Linked DNA regions of Caenorhabditis elegans. The protein of the gene in region 1 interacts with the protein of each later gene in a biochemical or structural test. Each region holds a gene or a part of one and is shown in the gene's direction. Other genes may lie near its edges. The genes, in order: fbf-1, eef-1A.1, csr-1 and nos-3.

Region 1 (4,875 bases):
ATTCCGAGATGACAAACTTTTTGGTGGCAAAGGTTCTTTGGGGGCATAGTATCCAAGGAGACAAAGTATCCAGTAGACAAACTGGGGTGTATCTTGGGGGGCATATCTTTGGTGACAACCTTTTTTTCAACTAGATTTTTATATGTATTTTTCAACTAATTTTTGTTCACATTTTTCTGGAATAAGTTTTTTAATGCAATTTTCAATCGATTATCGGTTATAATTCCCTCACAATTAAATGTATGAACGATGGTCTTTTGGGAAAAGCTGTAAAAGGTCCAACTAACTTGGAATATCGTGAGGCTCTTCCTGATGGTCTGATCCTTCAGCTCCGAGGGATCACATAGGTACCTTCTGATGTTCTGATCCTTCAGAAAAGAAGGATCGTAAGGGTACCTCCTGATGGTCTGATCCTTCAGCTCCAAAGGATCACGAGGCTCTTCCTGATGTTCTGATCCTTCAGCTCCGAAGGATCACATGGGTACCTTCTGATGTTCTGATCCTTCAGATAAGAAGGATCGTAAGGGTACCTCCTGATGGTCTGATCCTTCAGCTCCAAAGGATCACGAGGCTCTTCCTGATGTTCTGATCCTTCAGCTCCGAAGGATCCGACGTCATCATCTCGAAGAATCTTACGATATTCCAAGTTAGTTGGACGTTTTACAGCATTTTCCCAAAAGATCATTGTTCATGCATTCAATTGTGAGTAGTCAAGGCCGAAAATCCATGGAAAATTGCATTTAAAAACTTATTCCAGTAAAATATGAACAAAAAATGGTCAAGAAATATATATAAAAAAACTAGTTGAAAAAGTTTGTCACCGAAGATACGCCCGGTCAGAGACAAATGGCACTTTGTCGACTGGATACCATGTCACTTTGGATACTTTGTCCCCAAAAATACCTTGCCACCCTAAAAGTTTGTCCCCTCGGAATGAGGGCCAGTTACCAGTGGCCATAATCGTGTGATTATTATTTGGGATGTTCGAAGTGTTTGCTCCGCCCTTTCTGGATCACAATAGACAATTGCTTCTTCTACTTCTTGAATGTCTCATAATTCTTCTTATTTTTATCTAATTTATTGCTTCTCCTTTCTATTTTGTATATTAACTCCCAAAAACGCCCATTCTTCCCCAAAACCATCTAAAACTTACCAATATTTCCCGATACCCCTGACAGGTTATCCTGAATAATGATTGTGATTCTCAAATTTCTTCTAATCCCGTTAATTCCCCAAATATTCGAATGTAACTTTTTTTGGAATTTTTTTGTTTTCTAGTTTATAAATAAACAATATGTTTGAAAAACAATCGTAATTTGCGTTTTAGATGGTTAAACGGTAGGAAGCTTAAGCTTCCTACAACATCCAAATACAATGCAATATTTTCTGAAATTCTAAATATCAAAACATCATCCGGAATATGGAGATTTAATGCAACTCTATAGAGGTTTATGGGGACTTAGTCTTCTGGAAATTGAATTATGTGATTATGAATTAATTTTAAAAAAACCAATCCCAATCATACGATCGTCGACGACGATCGTCCCTCGCGTCTCGCGAGAGCCAACTGGTTATAGCTTTTCGGGAGGTTTAAATGTTTTATCAATTTTATACGGTACGGTCTGGAATATTCCACAATTTTTTATCTGTTTTAACAGAGAATATCTCTCCATGGAGATGCTAAAATTTTGAGAGATAAATAAGCAAATCGCATTGTTTGAAAATTTCAATTTGGATACGGTAGACAATGACAAAGTACGCAAACACCAGAGTATGTGACACACTTTCGTCATTCTCAAATTCAATTTGAAATATTATTTTCTTATTCCTATTCTCTATTTTCTGTGAATTGATAGTTTTTCTATAAGTAACCATTCGAATAAAATTATCAACTAATCGACATGGACCAATCAAAAATGCGCTATACAAATCAGTTCAGAAAAGTTGGTTTTCAGCCATTAATATTGATAAATGGCCTAAATTTTACAGACTCCGCAAAAGCCCACATCTACAGAGGTTGGAAATCATCATACTCCCGCACATTCGCCGATGGCGCAGCATGAGACATCAATGTGGAACTTCAACTCTCTCAACCCGTATTTCTCAATGCTCAATATGAACGATGGGATGAATTATGCTCGCCATCAACAGAATCACATTGTTACATCGCGGCCACCAACCCCGCTAACTGATTTGATGAGCCTCCGGAGTTTTCAGAGCTTTGTAAGTTAGAGTAGCTAATTTTTGGTTGTTTTCATTACTGATTTGCAGCCCAATGTGTTCATGCCGGTCTCGCGTAGCCGAACTTCATCATTCATTCAGTCTGATACGGATTCCTCGCGTCTCGAGCCGGACGATTTTTCACAAAATGTCCGATATTGCTCTACCGAGATTGATCGTAACAATAGTTCTTCGAAAAATGACCATTTGAAATATTCGAGGTTCGAATTAATTTATCACTATCCTCAAGTGTTTATTCTGTTTTATTTATAGACCCGCTCTATCGAGGAACTCTAGATCATTCACAAGATCAAACAATGTGCTGCCAACCTGGTCCTTGGATTCCAATGGTGAAATGCGTTCAAGATTGTCGCTCTCTGAAGTTTTGGATAGTGGCGATTTGATGAAGTTTGCCGTTGACAAAACTGGGTGCCAGTTCCTCGAAAAGGCCGTGAAGGGCAGCCTGACATCTTATCAGAAGTTCCAATTGTTTGAACAAGTTATTGGGAGAAAAGATGATTTCCTTGTAAGTTTTAGTTTCTGCGAGCACACACGACTTTTCTTTTCAGAAATTGAGCACGAACATCTTTGGAAATTATTTCGTACAAGAAATCATTGGAATGTCATTGACAACTTATGATGACGACAACATAAAGCGACAAGAAAAGTTGAAGAACTTCATCAGTTCCCAAATGACAGATATGTGCTTGGACAAATTTGCGTGTCGTGTTATCCAATCCAGTCTCCAGAACATGGATTTATCCCTTGCGTGTAAACTTGTTCAAGCTCTACCTCGTGATGCTCGTCTTATCGCAATCTGTGTTGATCAAAATGCCAATCACGTCATTCAGAAAGTCGTAGCTGTCATCCCACTGAAGAATTGGGAGTTTATCGTGGATTTTGTTGCAACCCCAGAGCACCTCCGTCAGATTTGTTTTGATAAGTATGGGTGCCGTGTTGTGCAAACTATAATCGAAAAACTCACTGCTGATTCAATAAACGTTGATTTAACTTCCGCTGCTCAACATCTTCGTGAACGAGCACTCCAACGCCTCATGACTTCTGTGACTAATCGGTGCCAAGAATTAGCTACGAACGAGTATGCCAATTACATAATACAGCATATTGTATCCAATGATGATCTGGCCGTATATCGGGAATGTATCATAGAGAAATGCCTCATGTGAGTGTTGTTTAATATATATTTGATTTTTAATCATTAATATTTCAGGCGCAATCTTCTTTCGTTATCCCAGGAAAAGTTTGCGTCTCATGTTGTAGAGAAAGCATTCCTACATGCACCAATGGAACTTCTTGCTGAAATGATGGACGAGATTTTCGACGGATACATGCCACACCCGTAAAAATTTCGTTTCAGTCACATAAAAATTAAATTGTTTTTCAGGGGCACTGGAAAAGATGCTCTCGATATCATGATGTTCCATCAATTCGGAAACTACGTCGTTCAATGCATGCTGACTATTTGCTGTGATGCTGTGTCTGGAAGACGACAAACGAAAGAAGGGAGCTATGACCATGCAAACTCATTCCAAGTTTGGCTCAAAAAGTTGCACTCGAGAGTTACGAAAGAAAGGCATCGCTTGTCAAGGTTATCACTATTGTCACAATAATATTTTGAAATTCGAATTTCAGGTTCTCATCCGGCAAAAAGATGATCGAGACGCTTGCCCATCTCCGTTCAACTCATCCGATTTATGGACTCCAATCTTCGGGACATGAATCATTCAAGACGGATTGCTTCAGTACTGCTTCCGAACACGATGGTCTAGAGTTGGAGAAGAATGGAATCGAGGAAGGTAACCTGAGGCTCATGCGAACTTTCTCACCATAAATCTCATCCCACCCACTTATGTTCTGTTGTTTTGTAATATTTTAAACTGTTGCAATGGTTTCGTTTCGATTTTAAGATCGATGTTGTGCCATCCCCACCCTTATCATTGCCCAGTTTTGTTTTTTCTTTTCTTTTTTGTTGTTTTATTGCTTTTCATGCAGTTGTGTTATTGTTTCTTTCTGTTTATTGTTCATTGTTTTGTTTTTTTTTTTCGAATTTAATGAATCCAGATAAATTTGGACACGAAAACTCTAAAAATTAAATAAAATTATTTCAACACTAAAATAATTCATTACGCAAAAACAACAAACAAATTATTCGAAGATTTCCTCTCGTTGACGCCAGGTAGAGTTGGCGTCGTCGTTCTCCATGTAAACCATTGATGTTGGAATTGTGGGGCGAGCCTCCACGCCTGGCGGTGGTCTTCTCGGTGCGAACATCATCGACCCACCAATCTCCTCTTCGACTGAAAACACAGAGTATTTAAAATAAAATGAGAATGAAAGGTAAGTTCCTCCCAATTACTTCAGTAAACTCGCCTTTTTTAGCCTTAAATTTTCCGCAGTTCACCAATACGGCAGCAGTGAGAATAACAGAACAGACGAGAAACAGCATCTGTAAATAAATTTGATTTCAATCTCTACTCTTCAGCACTTATACTATAAGTGTTGTACTTCTATGAGTTTCATTGGATAAGTGTCTATTCGGAATAGTCTCGCTGCACTTTATTCTCTACAGTAATCTTACATTAGAGTATACGCGAGAAATGGAGAGTGCTGCGAGAACTAGAATGAATATGCCTC
Region 2 (3,850 bases), on another chromosome or scaffold:
ATTTGGGGAACATCAGCAGTCAGGATTGATTTGCAAACGTTTGAAATGAGTAAACTGTCCGAAGAACCACGGAGATAGCAATTTCGAGCATTGTCATCGCCCTGGAAATATAAAGTACTATTTTTACACAATATTTATAGAAAAAACAACTAACACTTTTCAAAATTGGAGCCAATGACTGAAGTGTACATACAGCTCGTCTCAAATCACCTTCTGAATATTCCATAACTTGTTTCAGTTCATCATCACTCATGGGAGTTCCTTCTGCATCACAAATTGTTCTCAATCTAAAAACACCGAAAGTTATAAAAAACACTTAATTTTGAAATTTCACCTTTGAACTTGAATCTCGGCTGGAAGTGATTTGAATCGGAACTTGGCACAACGGCTCACAACTGGAGGAATCAATCGGGAAACATAGTTGCAGATGAGAATGAAGCGAGTAGTTTTGGAAAAATCTTCAATAACTCTGCGCATTGCTGCTTGTGCTTCTCGGGTCATCGCATCAACTTCATCAAGTATGATAATTTTCAATTTGAGAACATCTTCCCTATGGCTGTGGCCCAAAGATGACTTGGAGAAGGATTGAATCTAAACAGGAAACGTTTTTATAATTATGGAATTCTTAATTAATTAAAAATCAGTGGCAATCTTACTTTTTGACGAACAACTGCAATACCACGCTCGTCCGATGCATTCAAATCAAGAACCCTATCGCTGAAAATATAATTATTGGAAAAAATTATCACCCAGTATTTCACTTACTGGAAAATATTTTTTGGGAAGAGTTGGCGGCAAAATGCAAGAGCTGCTGACGTCTTACCAGTACCTGGTGGTCCATAGAACAAAAGATGTGGTAACTGAAAAATTAAAACGATTAGTTTGAATAATTTTTTAAGCAATACGTCTCTTCCTTGAAGCGCTCCTTTCAGCATTGTGACGACTTCATCCTGGTATGCAATATCGTCTAGCGTTTTTGGACGACTGAAAATTTGAATTTACTTTGCAAATCGAAAAACAAAAAACTAACTATTTTTCTGTCCAGGTGAGCACCTTTGGTCTTTTATTGTCAACTTCCATTGGTTCTTCCATTGTTTCTGTTAAATTAATGAATTTTTCATAAAATAAAGACATTATACAATATAAAAATGAAGAATTTATTGAAAATAAACTGCCAGAGAGAAAAAGTATGCAACACTCCCGCCGAGAGTGTTTGAAATGGTGTACGGTACATTTTCGTGCTAGGAGTTAGATGTGCAGGCAGCAACGAGAGGGGGAGAGATTTTTTTGGGCCTTGTGAAATTAACGTGAGTTTTCTGGTCATCTGACTAATCATGTTGGTTTTTTGTTGGTTTATTTTGTTTTTATCTTTGTTTTTATCCAGATTAGGAAATTTAAATTTTATGAATTTATAATGAGGTCAAACATTCAGTCCCAGCGTTTTTCCTGTTCTCACTGTTTAGTCGAATTTTTATTTTAGGCTTTCAACAAATGTTCTAACTGTCTTATTTGTGACCTCACTTTTTATATTTTTTTAATTTTTAAAAATATTAGAAGTTTCTAGGATAATTTTTTCGACTTTTATTCTCTCTACCGTCCGCACTCTTCTTACTTTTAAATTAAATTGTTTTTTTTTCAGTTGGGAAACACTTTGCTCACTCCGTAGCAGCCATGGGAAAAGAAAAGGTTCATATCAACATCGTCGTCATCGGACACGTCGACTCCGGAAAGTCCACCACAACTGGACACTTGATCTACAAGTGCGGAGGAATTGACAAGAGAACCATCGAGAAGTTCGAGAAGGAGGCTCAGGAGGTAAATAGTACAAACAACTAGTTTGAAAGATTTTCTCACCCGATTTTTTTCAGATGGGTAAGGGATCTTTCAAGTACGCTTGGGTCCTCGACAAGCTGAAGGCCGAGCGTGAACGTGGTATCACCATCGATATCGCTCTCTGGAAGTTCGAGACTGCCAAGTACTACATCACCATCATCGATGCCCCAGGACATCGTGATTTCATCAAGAACATGATCACTGGTACGACTTTGTTAAATTTTTAGCTCGTTTATAAAACTTTAATTGCAGGAACATCCCAGGCCGATTGCGCCGTCTTGGTCGTCGCTTGCGGAACTGGAGAATTCGAGGCCGGAATCTCCAAGAACGGACAAACTCGCGAGCACGCTCTTCTTGCCCAGACCCTTGGAGTCAAGCAACTCATCGTTGCCTGCAACAAGATGGACTCCACCGAGCCACCATTCTCTGAGGCCCGTTTCACCGAGATCACCAACGAGGTTTCTGGATTCATCAAGAAGATCGGATACAATCCAAAGGCTGTTCCATTCGTCCCAATCTCTGGATTCAACGGAGACAACATGCTTGAGGTCTCCTCCAACATGCCATGGTTCAAGGGATGGGCCGTTGAGCGCAAGGAAGGAAACGCTTCCGGAAAGACCCTCCTCGAGGCTCTCGACTCCATCATTCCACCACAACGCCCAACTGACCGACCACTCCGTCTCCCACTCCAGGATGTGTACAAGATCGGAGGAATCGGAACTGTTCCAGTCGGACGTGTTGAGACCGGAATCATCAAGCCAGGAATGGTCGTTACCTTCGCTCCACAAAACGTCACCACTGAAGTCAAGTCCGTTGAGATGCATCACGAATCTCTTCCAGAGGCCGTCCCAGGAGACAACGTTGGATTCAACGTCAAGAACGTCTCCGTCAAGGATATTCGTCGTGGATCCGTCTGCTCCGACTCCAAGCAAGACCCAGCCAAGGAGGCTCGCACCTTCCACGCCCAGGTCATCATCATGAACCATCCAGGACAGATCTCCAACGGATACACTCCAGTTCTCGATTGCCACACCGCTCACATCGCCTGCAAGTTCAACGAGCTTAAGGAGAAGGTAACTTATTTGTCTTATTGTTTCGTTTATGTACCAATTTGTTTTTCAGGTTGACCGTCGTACCGGTAAGAAGGTTGAGGACTTCCCAAAGTTCCTCAAGTCTGGAGATGCTGGAATCGTCGAGCTCATCCCAACCAAGCCACTTTGTGTTGAATCCTTCACCGACTACGCTCCACTCGGACGTTTCGCCGTTCGTGACATGAGACAAACCGTCGCTGTCGGAGTTATCAAGTCCGTTGAGAAGTCTGATGGATCCTCTGGAAAGGTCACCAAGTCCGCCCAAAAGGCTGCACCAAAGAAGAAGTAAATCTTCATTGTTGAGTTTATCTTGTTGATTTTTGAATAAATTATCAACTCTTTACTTTTTAATGGGTTATGAAATAAATAAACATTGAAAACTGATAAACAACGTTCATCTCTGTTAACTCAACTCCAGAAAATCAGCATTAACATTAATAAAGTGATAGATATAATGAGGCAAATAATCAAGACTTTGGCTATTGTGTCCTCGTTGTTCTTCAGCTTCGTGGTCCATTTGCAGTGTTGCTTCTCAGATCTGGAAGTAATATTTGGTATTCGATTGAGCTTGCTCCTCACCTTCGATCTAAAATTTCGATAGCATCTGGAGATTCATTGTTTCTTTCGTTGATATCAATTTCTTCTCGGGTGAACTGGTCCACATTTATAGTATGTCTTCTATCATCAAACAGCTTTTCCTTTTCAACTTCCATATTAACTTCGCTTAAGGCACGAGTTATCTCCGCCAGCCTGATTAGATCAATTTAGTACATTGATTTACAAAATTGGGAAAACGAACCGGAACATAGCAGGATTCAATATATTCTTCGGTGTATAGTAACCAGTGTCATCCTTCTCTTCATTTTCTGATAGTTTCTGCGTCATCTTAAGTTAAAAAGTAGTTGTAGAAATGATAAATGGATAGT
Region 3 (7,213 bases), on another chromosome or scaffold:
GTAATTGGAAAATGTAGTTCGCTCGGGTGAAGTTACATAATTAAATGTTAATAGATATGTAGACTAATTAATGATTACCTGATACTCCTAAAAGCATTTGTAACTCAACAAGAGTTGGTGTTCTCAGATCATTTGCAATAGCAAACATTGCCAATTGGCTTGTTGCCATATTTGTCCAACCATCAATTACATTTTTTTCTTCTTCCTCTTCGTCTTCTTCACCGTTTTTTTCGCTGTCGTTTTCTTCCTCAAAATCATTACCTTCTTCAACTGGATTAGATTTTTTCTCCAGTAAACTTTCAATATTGAAAGCCATTTTTCAATAGTTTTTATTTAAAAGACTTTAAGAAAATGTAGAGTTGAGAAGTTGCCAATATATATGACGATTAGGAATTAGATTGAGAATGAGAGCCTTTTCGGCTTCAGGTTTTGATTTATATTAGGAACCCGTGGGAAAGTTATGCGACAGGTGAGCTCTGAGTCTCTCTCCACCAATACACTCTTTCTTCAACCGCCCATGCTTGTAATCATTCTATGACAAACACTGAAATTTGAGTATTTTTGTTGAGGCAAGGTAATTGAGATTATTAATGGAATTGAAATTAGATTCTTTTGAGAAAATCAGAGAAAACCTTCCTAAGAAAATTCAGCTATATAGCTCGGCTACAGTAACCCCAAAAAAAGTAATTAACAAATGGGAAAGTGAGCATTGAAAATATTGGAAAATTGTCAAAATAATAGTGTTTTTTCCACGATTTGTTATCGTTTATCGTGAGATTTTGAATTTTCGGTTCTTTGTTATCACTTTTTTCATAGAAATATGAATATTTTTGAGCACACAAGGCATTCTCCAGGAGAATTATGAAACTGTGGATTATTTTTGGGAACGGACAGTTGAAGGTTTTCGCAAATTTAAACAAGTCTAAAACTTTTTACTTTTATTAATATAGTAATGAACTGTATTTTTACATGAAATGATTACGTTAACGGGACTCCAACTCATAAATCAAAAACACATTTTAACAGACAAAATATTTTATTGTCTACATGTTTGCTGTTAACAAAATTTTATCAAATCAATTGTGTAAGCAGATTTTTTATTTTGAATTTTTGTCTTTAATTCAAGAACTAGAAACTTTCTTGATACAAATTTAAATAGTGCATTGTTCTAGTTGAATTATCTACATTTTTCAAAATACCGCTAATCACTAATTATCGGTATGAATGTTCAAACTTTTGTATCTCTGATTACGGTTATCGTCCTAGTTCCAAATAACTAGATACATTTTCCAAAATCAAACATTTTTTTTTGATGCATAAACAGTTATGAATCATCTTTATTGCAGACGTGATCATGCCATTTCACCCCATTTTTATTGGTTTTCCAATGTTTATGGGAACAAAGAGCTTTTATTTATTTTCCTCTTTCTCTGATAATTTCATGAATAAGATTTGAATTTTTATTTTCATTGTATTCATATTTTCGAGTGTTCGGTAAGAATATCCTTTAAAAACATATTTTGGAAATTCTGTTTTCAAAATTATTTTTAGCCTTGATTCAATTTTAGTTTAAAAATTGTATGCTACAGTATTTATTGCTACAGTACTCATTCTCAGGATTTAGTGCTCCAGTAATAATTGTGATAACTTTCACCACGCGTAAAATATATTAAAAAAGTGTTGACCTTTGTCACGGTAAACGGCCAAAAAGCCACGTTTTTCAAGGTCAGCATACGTGGTGTTTTGTCAGGTTTCAAGTTTAGTTTATTCTATCGTTTTAGCTCCAAAATTGAAGCGAGACTTTCCTGTTTTTCGCAAGAATTGTTAGAGTTCTTATACTTTGAAGGTTTGTGTGATGCTTTTAAGGTTTTAAATTTGACTTAACTGTTTTCCAAATCTGAATAAATAGGTCTTCAAAAGTTTTTTTCTTTTTTCGAAAATCCTTCTTTTTTCTCTCAATCAATTGAAATCAGCTTTCGATATTTGTGTACCTCAAAATTTGCGGATAATAAACAACTGTCATCCTCAAAATTTCACAAAAATAATAATATTACATTTCTTGATTAATTTATCAATATTTTCAGGTTAGAATGCAGTCGGATAATGTCGGTCGTGGCCGTGGAAGCCGTGGTGGTTCTCGTGGAGGTAGTGGACGTGGTAGAGGACGTGGAGGATACGGAGACTCGTATCGTCCGGATTTAGAAACGAGAGAAACCCATGTAACGTATCAAGGCAAGGTAAAGTATGAAGGAGGAGACCGTCATGATTTCAACTATGAGAAGACGCCAACTGGAAGTTATCGTGGCTCGCATCGAGATGGTCAGGAAGGATCGAGAGGCAACCGCGGATCATTCAGAGGTGGACGAGGAGGTTACGACAGAAGACGTGATGATGAAGAATCAAAAGCAGAAAATCGTTTTGGAGGGTACAATCGGGGAGCAAATGGCGGAAACTATCGCGGGAGAACTGGCGGGAGCGGCAGAGGTGGATCGACCCAAACCACTACCGTGGATCCTAAATATAATGGATTGATCTTGGAAAATTCAGCAGAGCCAAAGCTTAAAGGTGAGTATTATTTGAGTATTATTTTGTATTTAAATAGCGACTGATTTTTAAATTAATTTTTGATCTCGCACCTGTGATTTTTCGGGGAACGAACCGAAATAATTTCGATCTCGGGCGGGAAATTGTTTTTCGAGATTTAAAAAAAATCTTCCCACCAACAAAGAAATACCAATGCGGAGGCACATAACAAACAATTTTGAGAAATCAGTAATTTGATAAAATAGAAGACTGAATAGTTATGAAATCAATAAAAGCTAACGAAATCAACATATTTTCTTTTTTTAGCATATTTAAAAATTGTTTCATCTGATCAAAACATTGAACAAAGGGTGGTGCGCGCTCTCTCACATGGATACGGTAGATGAAAAGTGTGCGACTTCGCGTCAGGTGTGATCACAATCTTCTAGAATTTTCGCATTCCCAAAAACTTGAAATTTAGGCCTTTCTCTGCGTTTAGTTGATCGTTTCTTTCCCGTTCTTATTTTGAATTTTGATATCATTGCTTTTATTTTTTAAATAATAATTTGAACTATACTTTTTTCAGGACTTAACTCTGACATGAATCAGAAGCAAAATCCAAGACTTGCCCTGAACATCTTCGGGCTTGAGCTCTCTGAGCGAACGATTTTCCGGCATGTTGTGCAAATGAAGCTCATCGATCGTCAGCACAATAAGGAGTATATTCTTACAACAATGAGTGCCAGGTGAGTGTACTGTTCGTTTAAAATTTACACTTTTATTTCAGAGGACGTGGAAACCGTGCAACAAAGCAAAAAGATAACTTTATTCTTCTTGACATCCTACTCAAACAGTGGGCCGCGAAGAAGGGTCAGCAGAATCTTCCTGCATTCGCGTACGACGGTGCACAGTCTTTATTCACTTTGGAGGGAATCAGCTTGGTATGATTTCATTTTTTTTTCTTTCTTGTATTTGGGTTTATAGATGGTCGATATCAAGAAAGAAGATGCTCTCGAAATCCCGGAACTTTCCAATTTTCTGAAGGATTCCATCTCGTTCCTCAGCGGCGATTTGGAGATCTCTTGTGAACCGGATCTCGAGAAACCGTCATTCGTTCAGACGGAGCTTAACGAATGGAGTGATCCAAGATTCTACGCTTATTTGGATATTGTGACATCACAGAGTGCCATTAGAAGGTATTATTAATTTCTTACTTATTGCTTTCCAAATGTATCTTCAGCGAAAGATATTTGTCGCAGTCGAAAGGTCTCTATGTCCACACTCAAAGCTTGGAGGAGCTTCGCGTGAAATGGGCTGTTGCAGCAAAAGGAATCCACAAAGGATGCCGAATCGTCGGAGCAAACGGACCTCTTCCAATTCTAGAACTCGATCGTTAGTTTCATTCGCGTTCATACCTTTGCAATTTTATATATTTGCAGCTCAATCGACTCAGTACTATGCTTCAATCCCACTCAGTCAGATGTTGCAGTACGCATTTCCTCGTGATTTTCCGCCAAACCGTATCGTTAATCCAAATATGAAACTGCAAAGAGCCGTGAAACTATTGTTGAAGGATTTAAAATGCAACCCATATTACGATGACAAACAGATTTGGGCTACGAACACTATCACAGTGTCGGATGTTGACTACAACGCGCCGAAAGATCCAGAATTCAGACAAAAGTATCCAAATCTGAAATTCCCAATGCTTCCTGCAGTTCAATGCGGCACTGGACCACACAAGCGCCTCATGCCGCTCGAATATTTGAAGGTTCTTCCTTATCAATCCATTGACCGCCGTGTACTCGAAGAGTTTGAGCTTACAGTAAGTTTAAATTTTTCATATATGTCATCTTAATTCAACTTACAGCCACGAGCGAATGCCCCGAACGAACGCTGGTCAACTCTTCAAAAACACTACGATCAATTTGGTTTCAACGATCAAGTCATGAAAGATTTTGGTGTCCAAATCTGCAATGATCCTTTCAACAACGTCAGTGAGATCGACGGTGAAAGAGTCCTCGCGCCTAGTGTTGCATATGCAGACCCGGTACACGTGGATGATGAGAAGCGTGACTGGAAAGCACAAGACAAAAAGTTTGTTACACCTGCTACGATTGACCATTTGATGTTCGTTCTAGTAGCAGGTTATACTCGAACTTGGGATGCTGATTGCGATGCAACCAAATTTGTCGCGAAAGCATTCATGCAGCGTTGCAAGGACAAAGGAATGCACATTGGCAGTTATAGCATGGATCAGCACAATGGCGAACGAGGCAGCGAAAATTTCCTTACTTCGGTCTTCAAAAACTTGGTGACTCATCCAAACTACCGGGATTCGTCTTTCACTCCGTTCGTCTTGTTTATTTCCGATGACGTTCCTAACATTCATGAGTGCCTCAAATTCGAAGAGCGTATGAGTGACATTCCAACGCAGCACGTACTTCTCAAAAATGTCAAAAAGATGCGTGACAACATCGAAAAGAAGTCTCAAGGTGGAAGAAGAGCATATGATTTGACTCTTGACAATATTGTGATGAAAGCCAACATTAAATGCGGTGGACTTAACTACACAGCAGATATTCCAAGAGAGTTAGTTGGGCGCACATCATACATTATTAAATTAATTTTTACAGTCTTGCGTGCTGGAATGAAGTTTCTACCTTCGTAATTGGAATGGACGTTGCTCATCCTGACCGAAACGCTGCGAGAGAAGGAAATCCATCCACCGTCGGAGTAAGTTATCAACATAGCCGTGTCGCTACAAATTTATTTTATAGCTGTCCTGCAATTCTGCTGAAAACCCATACTCGTTCATTGGAGACTTCTTATACACCGATCCTAGAAGAGAGGCGATCCAGGATGAAATTTTGCGAAAATTCACTGACCAAAGCGTTCGAAACTTTGCCGAAATTCGAGGTTTCCCAAAGAAAGTAATCATCTTCCGTGATGGTGTTTCATTCGGTGAAGAGACTGCGGCTCTGAAGGAGGTGGAAATCATTGAGCAAACCATTAAGACAGCCGCTAAGTCCATGGGCCATTCTGATTATGCTCCAAAAGTATTAGCCATTGTTGTTAAAAAACGTCACCACACTCGATTCTACGCCAAGGGAGGACATCACGGGAACATGCCGATCGTAAGTTCTTAAAACAATAATCTGTTAAAATTGTACGTCTTATTTTTCAGAATCCGCTTCCCGATACATCTGTTGGTGGTGATATTGCCGAATATGGAAAAAGACAAATCTTCATCCAAGCTTTCCGGCCAGTGCAAGGTACTGCAAAGGTTCCATCATTCTTGGTTATTCGAGATGATGAGGAAGTTTCGGACGAACATGTTGCCAAAATGGTTTGCGCCGTATGCAGTCTTCATCAGGTACAGACAACTGATTTCTTTCTAACACAAAGGAAAATTTTAGCTTGTTAACAGTCCAACATCCATCCCAACTCCAGTTTACGTTGCTCATGAGCTCGCCAAGAGAGGAACCGGGCTTTACAAAGCTTATAGGTATAATGTGATTATTCAATGCAACTTAAAATTTTAATTTTTTCAGGTTCAAGAATGGCGAACTCTTTGATGATTGGGAAACGCTCACCACTCAACTCTCCTATAGCACTCTCGATCGACTTTCAAAAGTTCGAGTTGTTTAGGCGTGCAACTCTTTCCCTGTTGTTCCTACATTCCTCATGTCTCGAATATCCTGAGACTTAGTTCAATAGATAAATTCCTCCGCTCGTAATATTTTAACTGTTAAATTTTCCTCCCTTAAAGTCTCATCTTATTTTTTCCCTTTTTCTTGCCTCCACCCTCTCTTCTCAAGCTCCTCCCATTCTTCGTTTGTTTTTGAATATAGAGAAGCGCAGCCAGTATTTCTCTTGAATACAACACAACTTGCTCTTCTTTCCATTCAAATATAATTATCATTTCTGGTGATATGTTGAACAATCGGTCTTCTCACATATGTTCACTGGAAGATTTCTTTTCATATGAAATTGTGGAAAGAATATCCTACCTTTACCTTGTTCCACTGGTTAGTATAACTTCATTATATAAATGTCGTGTTGAATAATGTTGTTTTTATTTTTATCTTTGCATGAATTTTTGTGGCAGATTTTATTCAACGATGAAAAGTTGAAACAGTGTATGCAAAAGATCTTTTGATTCGTGTGAAACATTTACCCCTGCCATACGGCCTGCGTAATCTAATTTTTTGGTGAAGGCTCAAGAAAATGAATTTGTTGCTCATAAAACATGATCCATAAAATGTTTTCATGACACATTTTTCGTTGACTCCTGGGGGGTATACAACTGCGAAACTCAGGAATTCATGAGTTTTCACGTGGCATTCATCTGGTTTTATTAATGACACATGATAATTAGTTATTTGTGTGCAGCCACTGAAAGAGCTTCATCTATCTGAAATACAACAGCTCGTCTACCGAATGAAATGACGCACCGAATGTGGAATAAAAAGAGAAATTCAGAAGATGTGCCCTTCTCTTCTCAGCTTCTCATGAATAAATTTGTGAGAATTTCAGAATTCCGAAAGACCATAGATTCTTGCTGGTTTGAAACCCATTATATAAATAGTACATTAACACGATATCTATTTAAAAAAGGAAATTGTTTCTTGCGGGGAAATTGATAAATAACTTTCGGATTGATAATTGTAAATTCCATTTTGAATTT
Region 4 (6,423 bases), 3.7 Mb from region 1:
GACCACGAATTAATTGACAATCCAGGGTTTTAGTGTTGTAGAGTCGGATTTCAGAAGTATTGGAAGCGACAGCCATGTGAGATTCATCTTTTCCAAGAAGACAGCACGAATAGATCTGAAGATAGGGAATAATAATTAAGAAGGTTCTTAAATCCAATTATTACTATTCGTAGAAATATTACTTGGCAATTTGAGAGCATATTAAAAGTGGTAATATTCAAAGAAAAAATTATTAAAAAAATGATAAAATCAAATATTTTCGTTTTTCGGTGTTTTTTTACGAATTTTGTATAAAAGATTTACATTCGAAAAATTATACATTAAAGCAACTTGATATGACAAAAATGATATCAACAAATGGTTTTCAATTCCAATTTGCAATCATTGTTTTTCTTTCAAGGTCAACTATAAAACTCACTTCGTCATGGAATCCAACAATTTGTCTTGCAATTTTCAGATTTTCAAAATCCAAAATTATAAGATTTTGTTCGGCGGAAATTGCCAAAAAGCGATTAGAAACAACATCGTAGGCCAAGTGATCGAGATTCGAGCTGGCAATCCTTTTCTTTCTGACCAACTTCGCAGTTTCAATCACAAATTCCTTAACAACACCCTCTTCTCCAACAGTGAAAAGATTTCCGTTATGTCCGATTGCTCCGCCTTCAATTGATTCGTAGAGTGGAAGAACTCGGAGTGTTTCTTGAGTTTCTGTTTCATGAATACTCATCGTCTGATCTCGCGAAAGAGCCACAACAACTCGTGAATCCGGAACTTGAAGCAGTGCGGTAATATGAGAATTATGACTTTTCCATGTGTTTACAAGTTTTTTCGGAGCACCTCTCATTATATTATAGAGGTTCAATTGTCCTTCAATGTATCCAACGACAAGCTTTTCATGTTTTCCGAACAGAATTGCTGAAACTACCGAGGGTCCTTTTAATGTGTGTGTACATTGTTGCTCTGTCAGATTCCAGACTTTCACGATGTGATCGGCACTTCCAGTCGCCAGTAAATGGCCCTCCTCATTGAATTCCATAACGAGAATAGGAGCAGTGTGTATGGTTTTCCATGTTCTGGCCAACTCTGGTTTAGTTGTCGACGGATCCAAAGGAATTGAGTATTCACGAATTATTTGATTGTTATAGGCGACCAAAAGGCGATTTCTGTTCTTGTCGACAGCTGTGCACGTAATGCGTAGCTCATCTTCAGGGTCGCCGATGGTATAGCTGCAAAAGATTTGATGCATTTCAAATTTAATTTATTTTATTAAACTTCAAAATTATTCATATTCAATTTTTCAAATAATCATAATCAATCTACTTCTAGTTTTGTGGGTGAAACTTGTTTTAAAGTTCTGTCGCAACATCACATACCTTGCAGTATTGTCAGCCAGATCAATCACTTTCACAACATTTGTGCATGTAGAAAAAAGTTTCTGACCATTTGCACTCCATCTGACAGTTCCTCCGGTGTAAACTGCTTCGACACTTCTTTTCGCGGCAATTTCCTTGATAGGTTCAGTCATTTCACCTTAAAATGTTTTAGTAACGCAGTTATTTGAGGGATCAAGAGTTAAAAATAAGAATAACATAATTTAAACTGTAAAGGTTGATGAAAAGAATAGAAAATAGGTGAAATTTACTTAAAATCTATCAAATGATCTAAAAAAACGACTCCGTAAATCGACACTAATGCCGAAACAAGTGTCACCGTACTTATTCGCTGCGAGACCCACTTCCCGTTTAATTCTACGCGCCTTTAAGTGCCCACCCATTTCGGCATTTTATCGATGAATTTATTAGCGTTCGCCGACGCTTTTTATAGATTTCTAACCTTTTTGTTCTCTTATTACCTTGCCGCCTTCAAATAAGAGTTATCTTAAACTAGTAACATTATCATTTTGCAATATAAACTCTGGAAAAATATGCAATTATTACATTTCTACACACAAAGTGTTCCGAGTATGTTTTTTTCTGTTATTTCCACTCAACTGAGAACTAAAAACTAGTTTTACCAAAATCACATGTTCCTTTTTCAATTTCTCATTTTCTTTGATACTCTTTGCCAATTGAGCTCCTTATTTTTGAAAACATAGATTCCGATAAAATTTTGCTGATTCTCTTTTTCTAAACATATTGCATATTTTAAAACACTTCGATAGTCAACATTTACAGTCAACGTTCACTTGGTAATGTCTGGACAGCAGTTCCAGCAACATTCACAGCAGCAACAACAACGTGCCCCAACCGTCTATAATAATAACAACAAGAAAAACGGCGGCAGCGCTGCAAACTCAAACCAAAACAACAACAACCCCCATCATACCTCAACGACTGATTCGGTGCCGAACTCGACTGCCAACGTGTCGTCAGCAATTTCGTTTGAGTATTCAGAGCCGCCAGGAAACACCACTAGGACAACACCAGATTCTGGGCTAGGGACTGACGACCAAAAGGGCACACCTCAACAGACACGTGCTCCGCCAGGATTTGTAAGTAGGAAACTATTGAAAATCCTATCGAAAAAAGATAAGTCAGAAAAAGAACACTTTTGAGGTGCGCAAGGTTTTAAGAGAATTGAGAGATTTTTCAAATCAGTGAAATATCAAACATGTAATTTATCTCATTCATTTTCAGCATCGAGCAGCTTATCATCGGAACAGCGGTCAACAGCAATTCTCTCAAATGCGCCCACAGCCGCCACATACTGGACCACCAAATGGTATGACATATTACGGAGGAACCGTCGGCGCGCCCGGCTATCAGCAACAACAACCACCACCACAAGAAGGATATGATCAACAGCAGCAGTTTGGAGGTGGATCCGATGGTGGACAATACCAAAGAGGACCACCAGGAGGCTATCGGGTATGGAGAATTACGGGCTCCTCAATTATTTCTAGCTCATAATAATTTTTTAATGAGCGTTATGATTTGGAAATTATATCTACAGGAAAATAATGAGAAGAGTTGATAGACATTTTGCAAATTCTTTATTTTCAGCAGTATCAACAAATGGAAAGCGGTGGTCCGCCAAGTGGATACGCGGATGACAACAACGGTGGAAACAATAATTTTGTCATTCATGGCCCCAACGATAATTTCGATGGTCGGCCACAATATAGTTGGTGCAAACTTACTGTGTTCTGTTCAAAAGCATAATTTTAGATCCTCAAGCAGGGCCACCACCACAAAATCAGCAGCAAATGATGAACAGTGGCAACTATGAAATTGATCAGTACCGTGGACAAGGACCTCCTCCAGGAAATACCTATCAACAGCAGGGACATAGTGGACAAGCTCAATATTATGCTGGACCAGTAATCCAGCAACGGCCACCACCGCCACACAATGCTCAATCTTATGGACAGTATAGGGGTCCACAAGGCCCGCAAGGCCAAATTATTCAAATGATGCCTCACAATCCACAGAATCAACAGCAGCAGCAACAACATCCAATGCTGTATCCAATGGTGTATGTTCCTGTGCCAGCACCACGAGTGTTCCGGCAAGAGCCAGCTGGTGGAGCTAGCAGTTTGGAAAAAGACGGAGGAAATGCTCGCAAAAGTAAACGAAACAGTCAAAATGAGGACGATGGTCAGCAACATCAACATCAGAATGAACAACAACCTCAACAAGGCTACCATCAACAGGATTTTGTATCGAACCCACTCTGGAATCAGATGCCTGTCGGTTACGCTCCACCAGGAAACTTCACGCAGCCTCAGCAACAACATCAACAAATGGATCAACAACAAGCCGTCCAAATGCAACATCAGATGCAGGTACAACTTTAAAAAAATTAGGGGAAGATTTTATATTATATTTTGACAATTTCACAGAGTTACACTTTTTTTAAAAAGAACAAACAACAATTCCTCAGATGTTTCAGCAAATGCAACCATACGGAATGCCACAAGGAGGCCCACCACCACCTCATGCTGCTGCTTCTATGATGAATCATCCCCATCAGCAAAATCATCCTCATATGAATGCACAAATGACCCAACAACAGCATCCAGGACAATATCTACCGCAACAATATATGCAAATGGTTCCGCCGCCTCACCATCAAATGCAACAAATGCAACAGCAAGGTAGACGTCCAGGAGGTGTTGAGCCGCTCATGGGAGGCCCGCCGTATCAAATGAGTGGACAAATTAATCAAATGGGAGGACCAATACGTGGAGGTTTTGGAATGCAACAGCAACAGCCGATGGGCTACTTCAATTCTGGAAGAGGTGGAAATGCTGGATCAGGAAGAGGAAGAGGTGGTTCACGAGGTCACGGATACCAACATTCTCGTCAAAATTCTAATCAAAGCTACAATTCTTCTCAAAGTTATCCACAAAATCGAGGAAATTTTGATTCATCAAGTCAATATCAATCCGACAGTCAACAAGTGGATGAATCAGTTACACAGCTTACCAATAGAATTGAACATCTTCAACCAGTTAGCTCACGTGCAGGATCACCAAGTAAACAGATCCTTCAGTTAGTCGAATCGAAAGATGATCAAACTTCGACTGAAAATTCTGAATCACCAAGTCGGTCAAGCACTCCTAAACATCGGAAGAAGACCCCAAAGAAAGATTTTAAAGTTGATCAAGAAGCATCTATCGAAGCGACAAAAACTGAAATAAGCGAGGAAAATCCGAAAACGGATGATATTCAGTCTAAAGATGATGTTACTTCGAAATCTGAACTACACTGTTATCGATGTGAACATTACCAGTTGCCTGCTGAAGAAGTGTCTTCCCATAAGTAAGATTAAAAATTCTAATTTATAAAAATTAAAAATTTAATTTCAGTATTCGCAAGGATAATGGTGATTTGTGGTGTGAGCATATGAAAAAGATCAAATGCGGGCATTGTGAGGCGACTGGAGAACAAGGTCATCACCCTCTAATTTGTCCAAAAAAGAAAGAAGAAGAACGTGTGGCAAAATCTCGAGAGTCTTCGCAGAAGCCGATCGATCCGCAGGAAATAAGTGATGATCAGGATGATACTGTACCGGATGTTCCCGATCAAATAGTCGAACAAGACAATCAGTCACATAAATCTCGTCACAATTCAGAAAATCGCAGTGGCGGTAGAGGATACGGTCAGAACTATAGCCATAGTTATGGCGGAAATTCTACTGGTAGCTATCGTGGACGATCGTCTGGAGGAAGTGGAGGCAGTGGACGTGGTGGTGGTCGTGGAGGTTACTCACGTGGACATGGTGGAGGATCAGGAGGAGGACAACGTGGAAACTATCAGGTTTGTATTTTAATAAATTGAAAAAAAAAACTAATTCCCATCAAGTTTCCAGAATAAACGTAAGTAAAATCGTTGGATTTTGATTGGCACCGATGTCCAACGACAACAAAAACTTCCTCCGATTTTCAAGAATCTTTCAAATATCCCGCTCGCCCAAACAAAATTCACTTCGATCTCTATTCATTCCATCCCATGCTAATACCACCATCCCACCGAATTCCAACTGCGAAAGCTTTAAAAGAAACCCCCTCATGTCTATCCCGATTTGTTGTTGAAACGTTTTGTTGTTTTTCTTTTCTTTTTTGTTGTTTTTTTTGCTAAAGAATTCCCCCAATCCTACAAGGATTCCGTAACTCGAGTTCCATCCTTTGGTCTGTTCGAATTCAATTCGTCATCCCTTTTCTGTCATGATTTTGTTGAAAATTGAAATTTTTGGCAGAAAATCCTGATTTTTTAAAATTGTGTCACCGTTCTTTCTTTCTTATACTATCTCCCTTCTCCCCCACTTTCTAAAGTATCTCTATAATCCCGCCCGTTTTCCTCTTTTTCTCTATCCCCTTTCTCTTCCCCATCAAACAATGCATAATACTGATGATGTTGGTTCGAAAAACGATCTTCAAATATTTATGTTTCCGATAAATCTCAAAATTCAAACAGAAGTGTCCCGTATTGTTGTTGTTGATCAATTAGAGAAAACAAGAACATCTTCATCCACTCCATCCACTTCGCCTTCTCCGTTTTTTAGCGATGCCACCGATTTCCTTGGCCCATTTGAGGATTTTGTGTTCACGCGCCAACGCTTTCAGCTTCTGATGATGTGACGAAGATTCTGCAGACGTGGCAAAGTGTTCGTGGTAAGGCAGCAATGGAATTGGAACACTGAAATCCACTTTTATTAATATTTTTCATCACCAAGACGTGAAGTTTTTCAATTTTTGTGCAAAAAATACAGCACCAGGTCTCGTCACGACAATTGTTTGTAAAATACATGCGGGTGGGCGCCTTTAAAGGTTACTGTATTCTCAAAACTTCGGTACTGTGAAATTTTAATTGTTTTCCAACAGTTTTTCTTACGATTTGCTAAAATTTACTTATTCTATTTTAGTGTTTAATAATAAATAAATAAGTTTTAAATAAAAAACTAGGAAAAATCGATGAAAAC

The links.
Region 2: of the proteins of fbf-1 (region 1) and eef-1A.1, one has a biochemical effect on the other in vitro, tested with the Caenorhabditis elegans proteins (one study listed by BioGRID).
Region 3: of the proteins of fbf-1 (region 1) and csr-1, one has a biochemical effect on the other in vitro, tested with the Caenorhabditis elegans proteins (one study listed by BioGRID).
Region 4: the proteins of fbf-1 (region 1) and nos-3 form a complex in vitro, tested with the Caenorhabditis elegans proteins (one study listed by BioGRID).

The regions. Positions count from the first base shown.
Region 1 is NC_003280.10:6,077,747-6,082,621, reverse strand, and holds fbf-1 (Fem-3 mRNA-binding factor 1), read left to right. Parts: upstream 1-1,778; 5' UTR 1,779-1,901; coding exon 1,902-1,943; intron 1,944-1,989; coding exon 1,990-2,223; intron 2,224-2,271; coding exon 2,272-2,441; intron 2,442-2,493; coding exon 2,494-2,746; intron 2,747-2,789; coding exon 2,790-3,403; intron 3,404-3,451; coding exon 3,452-3,580; intron 3,581-3,625; coding exon 3,626-3,829; intron 3,830-3,873; coding exon 3,874-4,072; 3' UTR 4,073-4,359; downstream 4,360-4,875. Other genes in the region: H12I13.6 (uncharacterized protein), read right to left, coding at 4,387-4,538, 4,612-4,687. UniProt on the Caenorhabditis elegans protein: RNA-binding protein that binds to the consensus sequence 5'-UGUGCCAUA-3' in mRNA 3'-UTRs. Involved in the control of stem cells and sex determination in the C.elegans hermaphrodite germline.
Region 2 is NC_003281.10:6,969,502-6,973,351, reverse strand, and holds eef-1A.1 (Elongation factor 1-alpha), read left to right. Parts: upstream 1-1,639; 5' UTR 1,640-1,671; coding exon 1,672-1,815; intron 1,816-1,868; coding exon 1,869-2,037; intron 2,038-2,085; coding exon 2,086-2,906; intron 2,907-2,955; coding exon 2,956-3,213; 3' UTR 3,214-3,326; downstream 3,327-3,850. Other genes in the region: rfc-4 (Replication factor C subunit 4), read right to left, coding at 1-101, 155-287, 335-591, 657-717, 766-860, 906-984, 1,031-1,092; F31E3.12 (uncharacterized protein), read right to left, coding at 3,333-3,462, 3,504-3,674, 3,724-3,809.
Region 3 is NC_003282.8:7,955,490-7,962,702, forward strand, and holds csr-1 (Piwi domain-containing protein), read left to right. Parts: upstream 1-1,777; 5' UTR 1,778-1,846; intron 1,847-2,084; 5' UTR 2,085-2,090; coding exon 2,091-2,565; intron 2,566-3,109; coding exon 3,110-3,269; intron 3,270-3,310; coding exon 3,311-3,464; intron 3,465-3,507; coding exon 3,508-3,719; intron 3,720-3,763; coding exon 3,764-3,915; intron 3,916-3,962; coding exon 3,963-4,348; intron 4,349-4,393; coding exon 4,394-5,115; intron 5,116-5,159; coding exon 5,160-5,259; intron 5,260-5,303; coding exon 5,304-5,660; intron 5,661-5,710; coding exon 5,711-5,899; intron 5,900-5,942; coding exon 5,943-6,031; intron 6,032-6,077; coding exon 6,078-6,174; 3' UTR 6,175-6,668; downstream 6,669-7,213. Other genes in the region: Homeobox protein ceh-19, read right to left, coding at 79-316.
Region 4 is NC_003280.10:9,744,543-9,750,965, forward strand, and holds nos-3 (Nanos-type domain-containing protein), read left to right. Parts: upstream 1-1,773; 5' UTR 1,774-1,924; coding exon 1,925-1,961; intron 1,962-2,159; exon of another isoform or gene 2,160-2,174; coding exon 2,175-2,491; intron 2,492-2,636; coding exon 2,637-2,867; intron 2,868-3,002; coding exon 3,003-3,123; intron 3,124-3,167; coding exon 3,168-3,784; intron 3,785-3,882; coding exon 3,883-4,763; intron 4,764-4,810; coding exon 4,811-5,261; intron 5,262-5,306; coding exon 5,307-5,318; coding exon of another isoform or gene 5,319-5,328; 3' UTR 5,329-5,912; downstream 5,913-6,423. Other genes in the region: Y53C12B.1 (U3 small nucleolar RNA-associated protein 13 C-terminal domain-containing protein), read right to left, coding at 1-115, 419-1,226, 1,374-1,525; Y53C12B.7 (uncharacterized protein), read right to left, coding at 5,969-6,140.